Rattus norvegicus: one gene and its partners. The protein of the gene in region 1 purifies or fractionates together with the protein of each later gene. This does not show direct contact. Links are inferred from orthologs where the notes say so. Each region holds a gene or a part of one and is shown in the gene's direction. Other genes may lie near its edges.

Evidence for each region. The genes of interacting proteins can lie anywhere in the genome.
Region 2: the proteins of Vamp4 (region 1) and Stx8 purify together in Homo sapiens (co-immunoprecipitation; 3 studies listed by BioGRID and IntAct, counting the BioPlex papers as one, with this or other methods). This does not show direct contact. The link is inferred for Rattus norvegicus from reciprocal best matches to the Homo sapiens genes VAMP4 and STX8.
Region 3: the proteins of Vamp4 (region 1) and Vti1a purify together in Homo sapiens (affinity purification with mass spectrometry; 4 studies listed by BioGRID and IntAct, counting the BioPlex papers as one, with this or other methods). This does not show direct contact. The link is inferred for Rattus norvegicus from reciprocal best matches to the Homo sapiens genes VAMP4 and VTI1A.

The regions. Positions count from the first base shown.
Region 1 is NC_086031.1:77,451,247-77,457,256, forward strand, and holds the start of Vamp4 (vesicle-associated membrane protein 4), read left to right. Parts: upstream 1-2,073; 5' UTR 2,074-2,132; intron 2,133-2,303; exon of another isoform or gene 2,304-2,435; intron 2,436-5,506; 5' UTR 5,507-5,562; coding exon 5,563-5,628; intron 5,629-6,010. UniProt on the Homo sapiens protein: Involved in the pathway that functions to remove an inhibitor (probably synaptotagmin-4) of calcium-triggered exocytosis during the maturation of secretory granules.
Region 2 is NC_086028.1:53,152,553-53,158,535, forward strand, and holds the start of Stx8 (syntaxin-8), read left to right. Parts: upstream 1-2,141; coding exon 2,142-2,158; intron 2,159-5,328; coding exon 5,329-5,428; intron 5,429-5,983. Other genes in the region: Cfap52 (cilia- and flagella-associated protein 52), read right to left, coding at 1,174-1,243. UniProt on the Homo sapiens protein: Vesicle trafficking protein that functions in the early secretory pathway, possibly by mediating retrograde transport from cis-Golgi membranes to the ER.
Region 3 is NC_086019.1:264,359,760-264,365,715, forward strand, and holds the start of Vti1a (vesicle transport through interaction with t-SNAREs homolog 1A), read left to right. Parts: upstream 1-2,114; 5' UTR 2,115-2,139; coding exon 2,140-2,233; intron 2,234-5,956. Other genes in the region: palmitoyltransferase ZDHHC6, read right to left, coding at 23-289. UniProt on the Homo sapiens protein: V-SNARE that mediates vesicle transport pathways through interactions with t-SNAREs on the target membrane. These interactions are proposed to mediate aspects of the specificity of vesicle trafficking and to promote fusion of the lipid bilayers.

The DNA.
Region 1 (6,010 bases):
GTTGAAGGAATCAGAGAAAGAACTGGAAGAGCTTGAAGGGGCTCGAGACCCCATATGTACAACAATGCCAAGCAACCAGAGCTTCCAGGGACTAAGCCACTACCTAAAGACTATACATGGACTGACCCTGGACTCTGACCTCATAGGTAGCAATGAATATCCTAGTAAGAGCACCAGTGGAAGGGGAAGCCCTGGGTCCTGCTAAGACTGAGCCCCCAGTGAACTAGACTGTTGGGGGGAGGGTGGCAATGGGGGGAGGATGGGGAGGGGAACACCCATAAGGAAGGGGAGGGGGGAGGGGGATGTTTGCCCGGAAACCGGGAAAGGGAATAACACTTGAAATGTATATAAGAAATACTCAAGTTTATAAAAAAAAAAAATCACATTTCCTAAGTTTTCACACAGAGACTTTCCAGATTAATAAAGAAGAGTTAGGGGCATACGTTCCTGGCCCAAAAGCAATCAAAATAATTAGCCAAATCATGGCATTATGACTAAAACAAAGAAAAATAATAGATTACTCATAAAAGCTAAAGAACATCTCTATCATAGCTCCATGATCATATTTCCTTATGTTTTTTACAGGGGCATTAACTAGCTATGGGGACAAAGTAAGGGAGTCCGACATAGGAAGCAGATATACAGATAAAAACATCAACTGAAAGGGCTGGTAGGACAGCTCAGTGAGTAAACACACTTATTGCTTTTGTTAAGGACCCAGGTTCAATTCCCAGCACCCACATGGCAGCTTGGAACAGTCACTAACTACAGTCCCAAGGGATCTGAAGCCCTCACTGATCTTTAAGAGCACCAGGCATACATGTGGTGCACATATATGCATGTAGCCAACACCACTCACATACGTAAAATAATAAAATTTTAAAAACATCAGGCGAATAAAAACGAACCAACCAACAAACAGAAAAGCGCGCCTGGGCTGTCTGAGGACTCTGTAGTCTCACCACCATGACCTGCCACAGACACAGACTAAGACACTTCCATTCTGGGCAGACCACTTCAGCTAAGTCTGCCAAGTTGTGTAGGAGCCGACTCTCAACCAGTGAGCCTAACATCAACCCTGCACTATAGACCGGGTGATAGAGGGGTTTCCCCTGGAATGGTCCTCCTCCTGTTTATTTTCTTGTCCCTGAACATCTTTTATTTTTGTGTCTATAAAATACTATAAAATATATTTTCCCACAGTTAAAAAATTATTAACAAAGGACTCATAACCATTAAGTTTAAAAGACATGTAAGGAGATAAATAAAGAGAGAAAACAAATACAAAAGTCTACATTTTTGGAATAAGTCTAGCATCTAGCCAAGTGGAGAATGAGGGGATGGTGGAATTGCAGTGTAAGGGGTGGTTTCCCGCCTGAATCCCTATGTCTGGATCCTTCCAAAGGAAATGAAACTGAGTAACCCCACCAATTTTCTAAACGTATCAGACAGATACTTCATCACACGCGTCCCCTTTGACTCAGCTCCCTCAGACTGCGCACAAAACAGCACCCTCTAAGGCGCCTACATCCTAGTCACCCTTTCAGGGCCGGGCTCTGAGAGACCTTTCAATGTGCCCTACTCATCTCCTGTACAGCCCACGTACTCCTCCATCGGATCTGAACGTCACAACCACTGGGGATTCTCCAGGATAGAAGAGAGGCCGAAGTGATCGACCTGCTCAGTGTCTCCATTGTCTGAACTTGTCCCCTCCGCCAGAGGACAAGACCCGGAGCGTCGAAAGGCTCGATCTCGGTTGCCAGAGCTTGCTCCCGTGCGCCCTCCCCAGGCCTCGGAGTACCGAGCGGTTCGATCTCCCCGGCCTGAGCCCACCCCCTCTGCCCAGCGCCAGGCGGTGGAGCGCCGAGTCGCTCGATGAGCGGGGGCGCTGCAGCAGAGCGGAGCGGTGGCGGGTCTGTGCCCTCGGCCTTCCCCCTCCCACCCTCCTTCCTCAGCTTCCCGCTCCCTCCCCCGCCCGCCCTGCGCTGCCAGCAGGGACTGCTGCCCGGAGCTCTTCGGAGACCTCAGGTATCCCGCCCCGGCGCGCGTGAGGAGGAAGGAAGCCAGGCGACGCCCCTGCCTACCGCCCCCAACGTCCGCTGGGGCTGGGAGCTGGCCTGCGCGAGGGCCGGGTCGCGAGTGGGGAAGGCTGGGGCCCGGGGTACCCTGAGGAAGGGGCGCGAGGACTGGGGAGCGGCTGGGGTGGCCGGGGAGCTTTGGGATCGAGTTACCCTCCAGGGGAAGAGCTGTTCCCGAGGGGGCACCTGTACCGGGAGTGGGGGGCCAGAGTTCTGAGCGGATGTCGCGGTGCGGGGCCTGGGGCGGCGGCGGGGAAGGGAGCCGAAGAACTGGCCGGGAAGCTCCCTGAGGTCCTTCCTCAGGGGTTCGGAGAAAGCGCGCAACCCCGCTGTGCTTAGAATGACCCGTGGGTAGAGGTGAATCCTTACACGTAACAGGTTTTGCGAGTAAGATTTCCAGGCACGATTTGCGTGGAACTGTCACCAGCCAAGATTGCAGATGAGAAATGAGGGAGAACCAGCAAGAGAATGGAGGCTGAGCAAAGGAAAGCCGTGCCCAGCCAGATTTGAGCTTTTTAGGGAAATGAAATACACAGAGCTTGTTTTGAAGTAAAAAAACAAAAACAAAACAAAACAAAAAAAAAACCAACGTAGACTAAACAACAGGTTAGACGCGTATTACGTGTAAAGCCACTGAATAGAGAACGTACTACAGAAGATGCATACGTGAAATTTAAGCGAGCAGGGAAGTACACGTAAGAGTCTTGCGATGTTGACACTTCAGTGAACCGGGTAGTGATCCATCCACGAAGTGGAAAGACATCACGATGACTCTTACTACGTAGACACGTTAAACGACAAGAATATTTTTGGTAGGAGGAACTGTAGGCAGAATGTAGTCAACTCTAATATGTGAGCAGTTTATTTCCGCTTATTTTTAATCTATAAATATCATTAGTTGAGGTAGTTTATCAAAGGTAGCTCGTTTATCTGTCTGCTCTTATGCTGGTGGCTTGTTTATTCGTCTGGCCTGAGTTTGCTTCCTTTCTTAGACTGATAGCTTGGATTTTAGAACCTGATTAAGAGGTTTACCCCCCCCCCCCATTAAAGTTTAGTGTTATACCTTGTAAAAGACATTATGTGAACTTGCTTGATCCCACTTTCCTGTTGGCTAAGATCAGTCGGAATACCTGTTCTTACCAGCCAGTTGTTTCCTTGTGGCTGTGGAGGATAAAAATATAAAGCCCAGATACAGTTAGAAATCTCACTTTCTTCAATTCTTGCTTTATCAGCTTTTTCCCTCAGTGCATTCCGTAACATTTCTGCATGAGATTTATTCTGAGATTAAGATGTAAGGAGTAAGATGGGTCAGATGATTGTAACAGAAGTAATATAGAATAAAGACCCCCAGAGCTGTCACTCCAGCATGGAAGGATAGCAGTTATAAGTGAAGCTGTTTGGAAACAGATAACAGGAAGCTGATTTCACTGGTATTACTTTTGATTCCGGTTTCTCTTAGTGCCTAACAATCAATAAACTCATATCTAAATTATTTAAAGATCTGTTTTTTTTTTAATAGAAGATGGTAGGCTGTTATAAATGTCTTTCTAGAACAGAGTTCTAGACCATGATGGTAACTAAATGAATGGATATTAATGCTGATAAGGCATAGCCACTTATTGATCTGTTTGAGTGATGTGATATAACAGTTATCTTACTAAACTTTCTTAATGCTTACCTGAAAGAAGTGTCAAGCATTTAAAAAAAAAAAGTGCATGCTAAAAATGCTGTTACTGAAGATGCATATTAGCACATACTCAGGACTTTTACTTAGCCACCATACTGGAAATGTGTATTTGCATGACAGCTACTTCCCTGGGAAAAAATGGTTATTTTGCGTACTCAAGTATTTCCTTCAAAAATCACAGTGCACATTAACATCCAAAAGTCTGTGAGGTGCTTCCACAGCAAAGGAACCCAGGTTCATTTAACATCCTTGTTTTTATATATGAAAAAGCACATCTTCTCTCAGAAAAAATGTCTGTGAACCCAGAAAGCAAGGAGGGTGTTTTCCCTCAGAAAGCAAGCGATTTTGCAGGAGATCCTCTACTAGACACTAGTCGAAAGTCCTCTTAGGTGGTTTCTACCACTGTCTTCTAGGAAGTAGCCACAACTGTCCCCTTCTTTAGCGACCACTGAATAAAAAGCGTCCTACAGAAGATGCATACGTGAGATTTAAGGGAGTGAGTGTACTTCTGAGTTTTTGTACCTGGTTGGCTGTAAGTTGAGATGGCCACTGTCCCTTTGTTGGTTTCAGTTAATTTGCTAGAGTGGCTTGCAGAATGCAGATGCTTTGCTTACGTTTGCCAGTTTATTTTAAAGACTGTTATAAAGGGTGCAGATTAACGATCAGATGGGATGGATGGAAAAGTATAGGAGACACCCAGAGCTATCCTGGTCCCTCCAGGTGTCCATCTCTAGGAAAGTCATGTGTTTATACCTCAAAGCCCCCTGGGGCCCTGACCACTTGGCTTTTGTGGGGGGCGGGGGGGAGGCAGGGCACTCGTAGATTATAACAGCAGCTGTCCAGAATCATGTCAGCCTTTAGCCCTCTACCTTCTCCAGAGGTTGGAGTGGTGTGGAATGAAATAGCTCAGCCTTTTAATCCTGACTTGGTTTTTTCCAGTGATATCCTCCATTCTGAAGCTGCTTATAGACTGGGAGACACCTGTCAATCCCATTAGTATAAAAACTCACGTTTATCTCCCATGGGTATGGGGCTTTTAGGATCTACATGTTAGGAGAAAAAGAAGGCCACAGAGAGAGAAAACATGTACATGTACATACATTTGAATACGTGTACATATGTGTAGTGAGTCAGCAGATATGCATATATAAACATGTATGTATGTATATACACATATGCACACACACAAACATGAGAGAGAATTGCCATTCCCAGATCGTCACATTAGTACTTACAAACTAGCCATTCTCACGGAGTGCCAACGGAGCAGAGTTTATAAGTGTTTTTGTATGTGTTATCTCATGTGACCAACTAACTTCATGCGGAATCCTGGAAATCACTATTTTACAGATGAGGAACTGAATCATTTCTTAAGCAACTAATTAAAAGTGCAGTGACAAGAAGTATGCCACTGTTTTCTCACTCCAAGTGAGAATCACAAAGCTCTTTCAGGATTTAGGGACTATTCCCATTTTCTCCCTCTTTGACAGTATCTGCTCTTTCATGATATAAAATCTCCAATTCACCATGTTCTCAACACGTTTCCTTAGGAAAAGAACATCCATTTTTATGATGGCTTTAACTACTTCTTCAGTCTAAGACTTAGCATATAGACTGTAGTCAGTGGAGTGGAGCAAGAGTAGGTAGATAAAGTCACGAGTGAGGAGATCTTATTGTACAGTCCTTGGCACTTTAGCCCTATACCCCAAAGTTCCTCATATGATGAATTTTTTTTCTTAAGGTGGTGGATACTTATTCTGTTGGGAAATACAGCAAGAGTATTTGTGAGCAGAAAGTATGCCTCCCAAGTTCAAGCGCCACCTAAATGACGATGACGTCACTGGGTCTGTGAAAAGTGAGAGGGTAAGTTTAGACTCTTCAGCTTTAAAGAAATTGAATGTTAAGTTGCCTTTCTAGTGAATGATGTATGTATGTATGTAAGTGTGCTCACCTATATGTGTGAGTGAGAAGACTACACATCAACATTGGGTCTCTTCCTCTGTTGCCCTCCACCTCATTTTTGAGACAAGGTCTCTCGCTGACCTGGCACTTGCTGCCTGAGTAAGCTTGCTGGTCAGAGAGCACCAAAGCATCTCCTGTTTCCATACCTCAGCACTGCTTACGGATAGATAGATGCATGGTGCCACACTTGGCTTTTTAACATGGATGCCAAGGGTCCAAACTTAGGTCCTCTTGCTTATAAAGCAAGTACTTTTTCTACTGAGCCACCTCCCAGACCTCATCG
Region 2 (5,983 bases), on another chromosome or scaffold:
CAAGCAAAACACCCATACAGAGGTTTTTGGTTTTTTTTTAAATCTTTAAAAAAAAAAAAAGTAACCTTTCTCCCAAACTTTGATACACTTTTCCAATTCCCTCCTTACTGTTTTAGCAAGAATTCAGGTATGGGCTAGAGAGACCACTCAGTGGTTAGGATCATGGGCTGTTCTTCCAGGACCAGGGTTCAATCCCAGCACCTGCATGGCAGGGCAAAACACTAATGCACATAAAATAAATTACTTAAAAAAAATCAGTTACAGATCTTCTGTGTCTTTGCACTGACCAGCTCACCAGAATATTTGTGTCTTTGCACTGACCAGCTCACCAGATTTTTTTTTTTTTTTTTTTGCAGTCACCAGGGGTCACTTATCAGTAATATTTGTCCATCTCTACAGACAGTGCTGGCTCTGATAAAGAAAACGCTGGCTTTCAATGAGAGCAGCATAGTACAACGGAGAGTCAAGAACTAAGGCCCGGCCGGAGTGCTTAAACCTTTACTCAGTAATCGTTCCGTATCACATCCTTGCTACTGTAAAGCTTTCAGGCATTACAAAAAAAATTGATTTCCCCCCCTAAAATCTAATTCCTTGCCTTTTCACAACACCCCAAACACGATCCCCCAACCACAGCATTTTTCTCCCAATGTTTACCATGACAGTCACAAGAAAAGCGCGAGCACAGCAGGAAGGCCCCTCCAGAATTAACAAGGTTTCTCCCTTGATGTTCTACTTCCCTCCCATCCTGGTCTTAAACCTTTGAGAGTTCTACTTTAGTGGGGGGGAAAGAGGGAGAGGGAGGGGGAGAGAGGGAGAGGGAGAGGGAGGGGGAGAGAGGGAGAGGGAGAGGGAGAGGGGAGAGGGGAGAGGGAGAGGGAGAGGGAGAGGGAGAGGGAGAGGGAGAGGGAGAGGGAGAGGGAGAGGGAGAGGGAGAGGGAGAGGGAGAGAGAGAGAGAGAGAGAGAGAGACCCTTACTCATACTCCTACCGAGTTAGACTCATTTGGTCTCTGAATATGGAGCTGTTACACCCACACCAATTCCCTAGGCTCGGGAATCCTGGGGGCGGTGGTGCCTGGCCAGACTTTTACCACTATCCCCACTGCCTCTCAGGCGCTACCAAGTCAGCGTCTCACTGTCCCTGAGTAACAAGTCAAGGTTGCTCTAGGCCTCACCATTGAAGCCGATCACAGCCTGAAGCTCCAGTTCGGCTACGTCGGTCTCGGGTAAAATTTGTTCTTCCATCCTGGAGAGTTTCAGCTGGTTGATTCCTCAACTCCAGGGTGCAGCGTCTCCTAGTCGTTATGGTAACTGGAGCACGCATGCGTGCTAGGTTTACGCCAGAGCAGAAACCCAGCCCACTGAGTTTAAGTTGATTTTCCCCTCTTGCAAATGTAGGGAGGACTTCCTTATTATGTATTTTATTCATTCTGGAAATGTAGGTGGTAGGTTGATACTGGGTACGCAAGGTAAATATCCTCCTCTCCGTGTAAAGGTCTGTGACTTTTTTTAAACTATAAAATTAAGCCCCTCATGATGATTATTAAAAATAATTGAACACAGAAAAACTGAGCACAGAGAATTGCCTGTGATGAATAGGTTGCTTAAAAAAAGCATGGAATTGCTACTTCCTTGTAAAGAAAAAAATTGTTTTAAAAGACACTAAAAACGTTTTAGTATAGTATGCAAGTGTGTGTGTGTGTGTGTGTGTGTGTGTGTGTGTGTGTGTGTGTATGTTGCCTCTATGTATATTTCCTGCGTCAGCCATCCAAGTGCTGGAATTCCGGGCTTGAGTTATCACACCCGGCTTGTTTTTGCTGTTTTGAATTAAGAAAAAAAGCATGCAGAGCCGGGGTTGAAGCGCTTCCATTCCCTGGAAAAATGGTTTGATTCTTTTCAGCAATGTAACCATTTTCCTTTCCTCCAGCAATTCATGTAAATTAACAAAAATCGATTCTTGCAACCCACTGTCCCCTAGGGGTGCGCTTTGGGGCGTAGTTCTGAGGTCAATAAAACAGGTTTCACTTTGCAAACTCTGGGCTCCGGTGGCGCACCCTCCAAACTGCGGAGAATGAGCCGCGCGGGCCGCCGTAGTCAGCTGCTACGAGCAGGAAGTGTCCCAGCTGCAGGCGGAGACTGCACCATGGCCCCAGACCCCTGGTGAGTTGCCGGTGATGGCGGTGATGGCAGCAGTGTATGGGGATTAACTTGGGGGGTGGAACTGGCTTCCAGGGACTGGCAGAAACCCTGGTCATCGTTGAGCTTGAGGCTGGCGGCTTTAGGGATGAGGATCGGGCGAGGATCCTCCTTGTTGAGGGGACTCAGCCATGTACTGCCTACTCGGTGCTAACTCTGTGGTCCCAGGGGAGACTCTGACCTGGGGGAGCTGGGACTTGAGTAATCGAGTAATTTGCCCCCTTTTTTATGGGGCTTCCTGCCTATCCTGCTTGTGGCTGACTGCATGCGTAGACTTCCCTGGGCTCCTGTAAAAGTGAAGTCGATATAACCTTTCGGTGGGATATTCCTTCACCCATTAATCCCCCTGCAGGAAGGGAATAAACTGAAGTTCACACTCCATGGTCACCAGTTAGTTAGTAGCTAGTTGGGCACGGGTGTTATGGGCTCTTCACAAAAAACTTGTAGGACTCTGAGAGGGAAATTTTGCACTTGTAATAAGCCCTTTCCTGCATCAGGAGCATGAAGACTTATGTGAGTAAGAAGTGGTGTAGAAAATACCTAATAGGGATCATTTATTTAGCAAAGAAGCCCCAAGGAGAGAATGATGAAAAAATATCTATACAAGGAACAAATTGCTATAAAGTCATGACCTTCCTGATTAACAATTTATTACACTGCATTTCTGTAAAGTCTGTGTTGGAGAATATGCCTTATGTTGGTGTTTCTGGTACAATTTATAATTGTTTGATGGCAGACAGTTTTGAATATGAAGAGAGTGGATCCCAAGGTCAGGCTCAGAGTTACCTGGAATCTAGGCTATTTGGGCCAGTAGCTGAATTGTTTGTTGTTTGTTTTTCAGTGTCTCAGTGAGTTTAGGTTGATCTTGAATTCCTGATCCTCTTGCCTCAGTCTCCGAAGTGGTGGCATTACAGGACTCTGCCACCATGCCCAGCCAATTGCTGAATTTTCCCATAAGGTTTTGACAATCGTATACACCCCTGATAGAAGTTTAGAGACTACTGAGTATCTGAAGGAAAAAAGATAGCACCTTCATCACTTGGAAACAATCAGTGCTCACTTTTTTTTCCAGTGCACTTATTGTTTGAATTTATATCCTGCTTGTATTTTACAAAACAGGAAGCATTTCTCCATGCCCTTAAGTAGTCTTAAAACCATGATTTTTAATGCACATCAGTGCATTGTCTGGGTGTGCATAACTTATTTCAAATTTGAGCTCAGTGGTAGAATAATTGTTTACCACATCCAAGACCCTGGGTATGGTCCCCAGCAGGACAAGAAAGCTTTCAGCTGTCAAATGAGAAAGCCACTGTGACAAACAAGACTAACAGCAAAAGAGTTGCTTGAGTGTCTTGGGTAAAATTCTCCTGATCTCATTAGATTCCCGTGCCACGCTCTGCAGAGAACTGATGTCCGCTATTTTGTACCTTCCATGTGGCAGAACATGCCAGGCATGTTTTCTTCTCTCATCTTTGCTTATGCCGTGTGCCTTCCACAGTGTTTAGATTTCGCTTCTCCTTCCTATAGGGAAATCTGCTTTAGACTTTTTTAGAAGTCAGCCCAAAGTGTCCTCTTGCGGCCCAGCCTGTTTGAGTGCCTCATCAGTGATCTCTTCCTTCCTGGGCTCTATAGACACTCAAGTTAGGTCCCTTTCCTAATTGATGGGACTTGGTTAGGGGTTTATATGTTTGATGTGCTGTCACAGAGCTGGACTGAAGCTCCTGTCTTCATAGGTGATGGTGTGGAGACAATAAGTATGGGGAAGTTGGGGCTAGGATCATTTTTCTTATTACTCTGCTATATTATTATTAGTCTTTTTAAACCACCTGCTTTTTTTCATAAGCCTATACCAGATTATACTGATTCATACTGGTTCATACTGATGTATACGTGAGTCTAGGCTTAGGGGGTGACATTGCCTCTGAAGTGCTTGTGGAGTTCACAACACAAAGTTCTCTGTATAGGACCTGGAGCCATAGCCCCAGCCCGAGCTACACACTTTGGTGACTGAGCCTAGTGCCTTGCATAAGCTAAACATTGATCTATGCCCTTACTCACCACCACCCCTTTCTTTTTGAAGTATGAGACTGATCACTAAGTTTTCCCCAAGCTGCTGAGGTTATAGGCTACTACTTCTAGTACTGGAATATTTTAGGGAAGTAAGTTACTTATCTTCTTATGGGTAGAACTGGGACATCCGGGCAAACAGCAGTTTTCAACATTTTGAAATGGACAGTCCTGGAAAATACATCATTCACATGAGCACAGGAGTCCCCGCTTGTAAGGAGCAGAGTGGCGTGCGAGATGAGACAGGAGATGAACATGCTGTGATAAGGAACACTCTGGGTGCTATTGGTGGTTGATTTGAAATTTTTTTCTAGAGATTTATTAATTTATTTTATGTATGTGAGTATACTGTCACTCTCTTCCAGAAGAGGGCATCGTATCACATTAAAGATAGTTGTGAGCCACCATTTGGTTGCTGGAAATTCAACTCAGGACCTCCAGAAGAGCAATCAGTGCTCTTAACTGCTGAGCCATCTCTCCAGCCCTGAATTTTAATTTTTAAAAGATTATTTATTTTAAGCATGTGGGTGTTTTGCCTGTATGCATGTCTGCACACCATGTGTTTGCCTGGTAACTTACAGAGGCTGGAAGAGGGTATGAGACAATTCTGAATTGCCACGTGGGACCTGAGAATTGAACCCAGGGCCACAGGAAGAGCAGCAGTGCTCTTAACCTCCGAGCTAGCCCCTCATTCAGCTCATTTGAATCTTTCCAAGCCCAACACTGTTGGGTGGCAGGTGGAAAGCCACTCAGTGTTCTGAGAGAACCGTGGCAGGGTTAGGAGTCTGCCAGGCTTCTTTGTCAGCTAGAGTGTTTTTGCTGCCTGCCCACAGTTCCTGCTGTCCCCGCAGCGTGCTTTTTGCACGTCACTTCTCATCTTGCCTCTGTGTCTCCTGCCCTGAAACAGCATCTCCTTGTCAGTGTGTTCCCTTAGACTAGGCTGGCCTCGAGCTCACAGAAATCCTCCTGCCTCTGCCTTTGCAAGGCTAGGATTGAAGGCACGTGACACCACACCTAGCCAGCACTTTCTTTTAAAGAACTTTAACGCGACTTTGACTTTGGTGCAGGTTCTCCACGTACGATTCTACTTGTCAGATTGCCCAAGAAATCGCTGAGAAGATTCAAGAACGAAATCAGTGTGAAAGAAGAGGTGAGAAGACACCTAAGGTAATGCAGGGAGGAATCCGCGTGCTGCTGAGCTCTGACGTCTGAAAGCATTGCTAGATCTGAGGTGTGCCGTGGGGGGTGGGGGTGTGCATGTGCATGTGTGTAAATCTTTTAGATCTTTTGGTATGTTGTATCGAATTTTACTTTTTCGCCATCGGTAAATTATGACCATTCCTCCAAGATATAAATTCCTCTGTATTTCATTCACTGACTTTTTATACAGCTACAGTTTTATACAGTTTTATACAGTTTTATACAGTTGTTCATACTTTTGATAGCTGCTGGCATTACATTCCCTAGGGTTCACACTGTTGGCAGCTGCTGGCACTGTACCCTTGAGTCTGTGTGTGTGTGCGTGCGTGTGTCCCTTGGGTTTGTGTGTGTGTGTGCGTGTATGTGCGTGTGTGTGTGCGTGTGCGTGCATGTGTGTGTGTGCGTGTGTGTGTGTGTGGTGTGCCCTTTTGATAGAGTTTGGGGTATGTGTGTGTCTGTCTTTGTTGCCCAGGCTGGCCCTGAGTTCAGGATTCAAGTGGTCCTCCTGCTGAAGCCTCACAA
Region 3 (5,956 bases), on another chromosome or scaffold:
CCAAAATGGATCTTTTTCTTACCGGTTTCCAGCCCCGGGGGACGAAGCCAGGACCAGCAAACATGGCATTGAAGTAATTATAAAGAATCATGACAGTCCAATTTATCAACATGATGAAATTCACACTTCCTCCAGTTGTATGTAAGGGCCAATACCACAAGACAGAGTCAATCATGGCCATTGTGGAACATATTGCTATAACACCCAGGGCTATTATGGGACCCCAATGACACAGTCTTCTTAAGTCTTGAAGATTTTCAAACTTGATTACTGAGCAGAGCGTGCTCATTTTGGTGAAGAATGACTTCTTTCTTCTAAAGAACTAGAGATTTCCTTTTCCTGTGTACACATTTCTGTGTGCAAAAAGTCCACGCGTGTTCCTGAGCTGTCTGTCATGCCTTTGGATGACGGGGTGTTGATATGGAGTATGCCATTTTCACTGGTGGCCTCCAGATCTCGAGGAGGAGAATCTTGGTTGGTTTGAAACACAGTCTAAAGAAAACAAGATAGTAACATTCCATTTAAAAAGTTCATATGCCATTTCTTTAACTCCAAGAAGCATTGAAACAGCGCGTCAAAAGCACACCGGTGTGGGGGTTCACATCTGACCGAGAACAAAAACAATTACTTTGGATCTATCCAGAATATAGTCCGAGCTTGAAGTGCATGTAAACGGGACATATACAGTTTTACTCCTTTGTTCAAACTGCCAGAAAGGATTGACAACTCCCTTTCTTAGTGGATCGTCTGAGAGAACAAAGGCTTAGGGAGCTGAGAAGCAGGGTCTTATCTAATTATCACTTATCCGATTCTTCCTACAACAGAAGCTGGCTTAGAGAGACTGTGATTAGATCGACCAAGGTCACAAGTAACAGCTGGGCTCAGAATAGAAGCCAAGGCACCAAACTTCTTTTAGGACATTCTAAACTGCCTCCCAAAGAGTTGTGATTTAACTGAGACATGCTCTACACACATAATTCTTTGCATATTAACAAGTGGAAGTTGTTCTCCCAAGCGCCAACATTAGCAATCGATCGGGGTTAAAGGTACAGGTACAAGGGTGAGAGCAAAACGAGAGAGCCGCAAGTGTGCATGCGAAAAATCACGACTGAAGCAGTGCACGAGAACGAGCACAAAGTAGATTTAAGAGAAAGAAAGAAAAAAAAATCCCTCCGGGGGCGAGGAGGGAGAGGGGAAGAAGGCACGCACAGGGGAATAATTGTAGATGTGAGTTCTGAATGGAGTGAAATGAGCTGGGAAAAGACCTGATACGTGGGTATGACGTATGAGTAACGGATTTCCACGCAGCCGATGCGCCCGCCCGGTGCCTGCCTCAGTTTCTCGCCCATGCAGTAGTAAGGGAGCTCTAGGACCTTCACTCACGATACAAACGTCTTATAAAGCGAGGCTGGGCTTCATATTTTGGGGATGCTGGCCGGATTAGGTTAACAAGAGGGTTGCACCCCCTGCGGTGACTCCCACCTCAGTCTGGTCTCCGGTGCCCGCTCCACGGCCATCGCATTTCCGGAGCGGCCTGGGCTCACCGGAACAGATTTTCTCCTCTTTATAGCTCTGTCATGAGCACATCAGTCCTGAGTAAGCCGAATGCGAAACCTGATGGCGAGAACCGAGCGAGCAACTCCTACCGGCGCGTGTCTGGCTCACGCAGGGGCGTGAGACTCCCGCTCAGGCCCTCCGCGCAAGCTCTGCCAGAGCCACTTCCGGCAGGTGCGCGGCGTCAATCTTCCCTCGGAAAGCCTACGCCTGCAACTTAGAACTTGGGGGAGCACCAGCTTTCCCTAGACGTGCAGTGCGGGGAAGTGTTTTCTGTGATACCCGAGAGCATGCTGGTTTTCGTAGTTATCTTTTTTTTTTTAAAAAGGGGAGTCATTGAAAGTGAACTTTTTCCTTAGCTTTACGTTCGAGGATTGAGTGGAAAAGAAAAGGCGCAGGCAGTGCAGTTTCCGGAGGACAGGGACTGTGTAGAGCAACCAGGAAGCGGCTGGGCTGGGAGTTGTCCCGGGTTCCCGCTGAGCTGTTAAAGACTTCTTCCCTGGGTCCCTGCGCCGAGGCCAGGCGCCCTTCGTGAGTCCTGCTCTGAGATAGAACCCGGCTCCGGCCGGCCGTTCCGGAGCTGCCATGTCAGCCGACTTCGAAGGGTACGAGCAGGACTTCGCAGTGCTCACTGCTGAGATCACCAGCAAGATTTCCAGGGTCCCTCGACTCCCTCCCGGTGAGTACCCTGCCCGGCCGGGCGGGGGCGGCCTGGAGAGCCTGGGGCGCGGAACGCTGCCTGGGAATGCTGGTCTCCAGGGCGCGAGGCTGGTGTGGGCGGTGCTGGCGGCCGGGGAGGAATGAGTTCTTGGTTGGTTATGATAGGGACCAAATGTGCTTCAAATGCAAAGTGTCTTCTGCATGGAAACCATTTGGGGGGGGTGGTGGTGGTGCCGACTTCCTACCCCACCGCTTTTTAAAGGCTTGTATGACCTTGGAAACATTGCTCTACATCTTGATTTTTTTCTTTTTTCTTTTCTTTTTGTCGTTTGTAAAATATAAGAGTATTCAAAGGAACTGTATGAAGTGTCAAGATTACGGATCAGTAAATGCAGCAGAGTTGTGGTTTTAGTAAATAATACTGTTATCCTTATCCGTGGCACACTAGAGTGACGAGCTAGGATGCCTGAATTCAAATCAAACTCTTGCCACTTACAAGTTGTCTCCTAGGCAAGTTTTCGTTATCCTTCAAAACTTCCTTCTTGGTTCGAGAGAATCGTACCTCTCTCTTAGGGCTGTTGTCAAGATTAACTAATACACATCTGTGAAGCCCTGTGTGTTAGCTCTTGTTAGAATTCATATTTTTCAGACCTCTGCCTTGATTCTGTGTTTCTCATCCTTCTTGGGTATATATATATAACCCAATTTTATATAAAACTTGGTACAGTGCAATTTTGCACACTTTTAAAATTAGCATACCCAGGTATCACTCTCCTTGCTAGGTTGTCAACAGTGTGAAGGTGGGGGCCTTGTCTGATTTTCTTAACATTTCTTTTCTAAGGGCTCAGAATTTTTTTCTTTTTTCTTTCTTTCTTTTTTTTTTTTTTTTTTTTTTTGTGAACAGGTGATTGCAGTGTATCCTGTGACTTGGAATATATCTTGTGTAGTGTTTTAGGGCTTTTCTTTAAGTACAGATTTAACTTGAATAGTTAGTAACAAATTATGAGTTTTATTTACTTATTTTTTGGCTCAGTTTCATTAGGGAAATTGAGTGATCATTGGGCTGCTGAACTTGCCTCTACTTCAGCTCTGGAACATACTGTCTAGAAGAGATGATTCTCATTGGTCTGCAGAATTGTGGGTATCTTCACTTTCTTACCTGATCAGCCCAACCCAAGATGACAGCAGTAACTTCTCTTGAACCTAAGCTGCTCCTCATTCCCTGTCCAGAATTTCCCTTAATCTTTATGTTTATAAATGATTTTCTTCCTCGTCCCCATGCCCCCACCCCACCTGTCTTCTGTTACAAGGGATTTTTGCTCCCAGCCTCTGAACCTCCATCCCAGTAACCTCCTCAAGTCCCTCTTAGCTCTGAAGGAGGGGGATGATGTCTGAAAGAGGTTGATGATGTCTAAAAGAGGTTGATGAGTTCAAGGAAGGAAGCAAGGGGAGAGAACCTAGGTAGCACATACCACGAGCTGTGTTGCCTCACAGATTTTTACAAAGTGGGTGATGGCCTCCTGCCTTGATGATACTTCACCTTGCCTGTTCTCTTCAATACCACTTGGCTCCATTGCCCAAGACCATTTTGATTTTGTTGCCCTTGTTGTCTGAGAATCTTGCCTTTGAAATGAGTCCCAGAGCCTCAGACGTTCAGTTGCAGTTGGATTTTGCTTATTTTGAATTTTAATGTGTTTTTTGTTTGTTTCTTTTTTAGCAGAAGAAACATTTTTTTTCTCTCTCTTTTTCTTTTAAATAGTACTGAGAGACTGGGTACAAAGCTGTGAAGACTCTAATAAACTAGATTTTTGTTACAATTGAGTTTTCTTGCCTCTGTGTTTAAAATTCTTGTCACATAGAAGGAAACATTTGAATTATTTAAAAAAAATAAAGATACTGTTATCCCTGTCCTTATATTTAGTGTAATGTGAGACCCACACAGGGCAATCGTTTTTTTTTTCATTTGAAAGGAGATTGTATTGTTGGCACTGTGGGAAAAAAGTATGCTTATTTGAATAATTAAATGACTCTTGAAAATACAGTGGTTTTCCTCTTGATGTGCTTGCTCCCTTTTTAGCCTGCTCCTAATTGATAGAAAAAGATAGTTTTACATGAATTTGTGAACTAACAGGAATTAACAGTATAAGCATGACAAAAGCAGTGTGCTTGCTGTGGGATTATATAGTTACCAGTAATTATATTAATTAACACAATAATTACTGTATAATACCCCACAGCATCAGAGTGGTTGTGTCACTCAGCTGAAAAAGACCTAGAGAGGAGCTGGAATTTATTTGAACTAAAAAGATTAAAAAATTGGAGCAAATTTTAAAGTCAAAGCAGCCCATTCCCCCAGGTAACAGCTTATTTAAGCTGCAGTGCTGGGACTCTGTGGAGTTGAGCCATTCCCTGCTGTGCCTGTGCAGATGCTCAGGAGACTTCCAAAGAGAATGGGAAGAGACAAAAAAGAACGTCCTGAAACTTTATTTTAAAAAGAAACTGATTACTCTGTAATAATTTATCAATTAAAAAAAACTTTGCTCTTGAAGCGTTTGATTCTTTTTTTTTTTTTTAATTAACTTGAGTATTTCTTATATACATTTCGAGTGTTATTCCCTTTCCCGGTATCCGGGCAAACATCCCCCTCCCCCCTCCCATTCCTTATGGGTGTTCCCCTCCCAACCCTCCCCCCGAAGTGTTTGAATCTTAACTAAGTTTAATGGCCGTGATCTTCAGATGGGTGAGTCCCTTAACACAGTGTGGTTACTGAATTTAAAGATGACTATTCTGTGGGAAAGTCAGGCAAATCGATGAGCCAAGACTATAGCTCACGTTACTTTCCTGAGTTTTGTTGTGATGGGAGTGAATGTCTTAGCAGAAGAAATCGGAGCTTCCATCACAGCAGGCGGGCATCTTGGAGGGTCTTCAGCAGAGTTTCACTTTGCAATTACTTCTTTATCTGCCCACGGTCAATTGTGAATCCCATTAGGGTTACAGTTAGAATGTATCAAAAATGTATCCTGACAGAGCGATCAAGATCAGGCTGCTGGTATTGGACCTGTTTAGGGTCCCACTTCTGCCTAAACTTACTATACATGTAGCTGTGGACAGACTCGTTGACTCTGTAAGCTTGCCTCTTCCTCCTCTAGAGTGGGAAGGAAGGGCGCTCATTTCAGTCTCACCATACTAGGATGCGAATGGAGCACGGCACACTGGCAGAACAAGCTAGCTAGCCCTTGGTAGATGCCCTTATGTTCCTCTGCAGGGCTTCAGTCAGCAGTGGGCAGTGGCTAGGATCCAGCTCTTCAGGCCTGTCATCGAAGTGTCACCTCCCACTTCTTTCATCCTTTCTGTGCCTAAACTAGAGTCTCTTGATGCAAAGCTACGACTGAAGAGAAATGGGCAGTCAGGGCTTTGGGGCACGGAAGTAGAAATGGTATTGAATTCTGGTGATCAAGAGAAGGGAATGGAGGGAGGGAAGTAACAGAGATGCTGCAAAACAGGTATCACCTGGAAGGAGCCCTTGAGTCTAATGGAGTAGCCGGCACACCCTGCAAAGTTTAGGAGACCATTGAAGCTGCCAGATAGACCTTTCAGTTGCTGTATTGGAGAGACAGCTGTCAGCTGCTATGTATAGCCCAGTTATGCGTTATACACAAGTATGTATGCAATTTTAGTCATCTTTGGGTAACAAACACAAATTTGTGTCAAGTGAGCATCTACACACACGTTTCATTTTTAC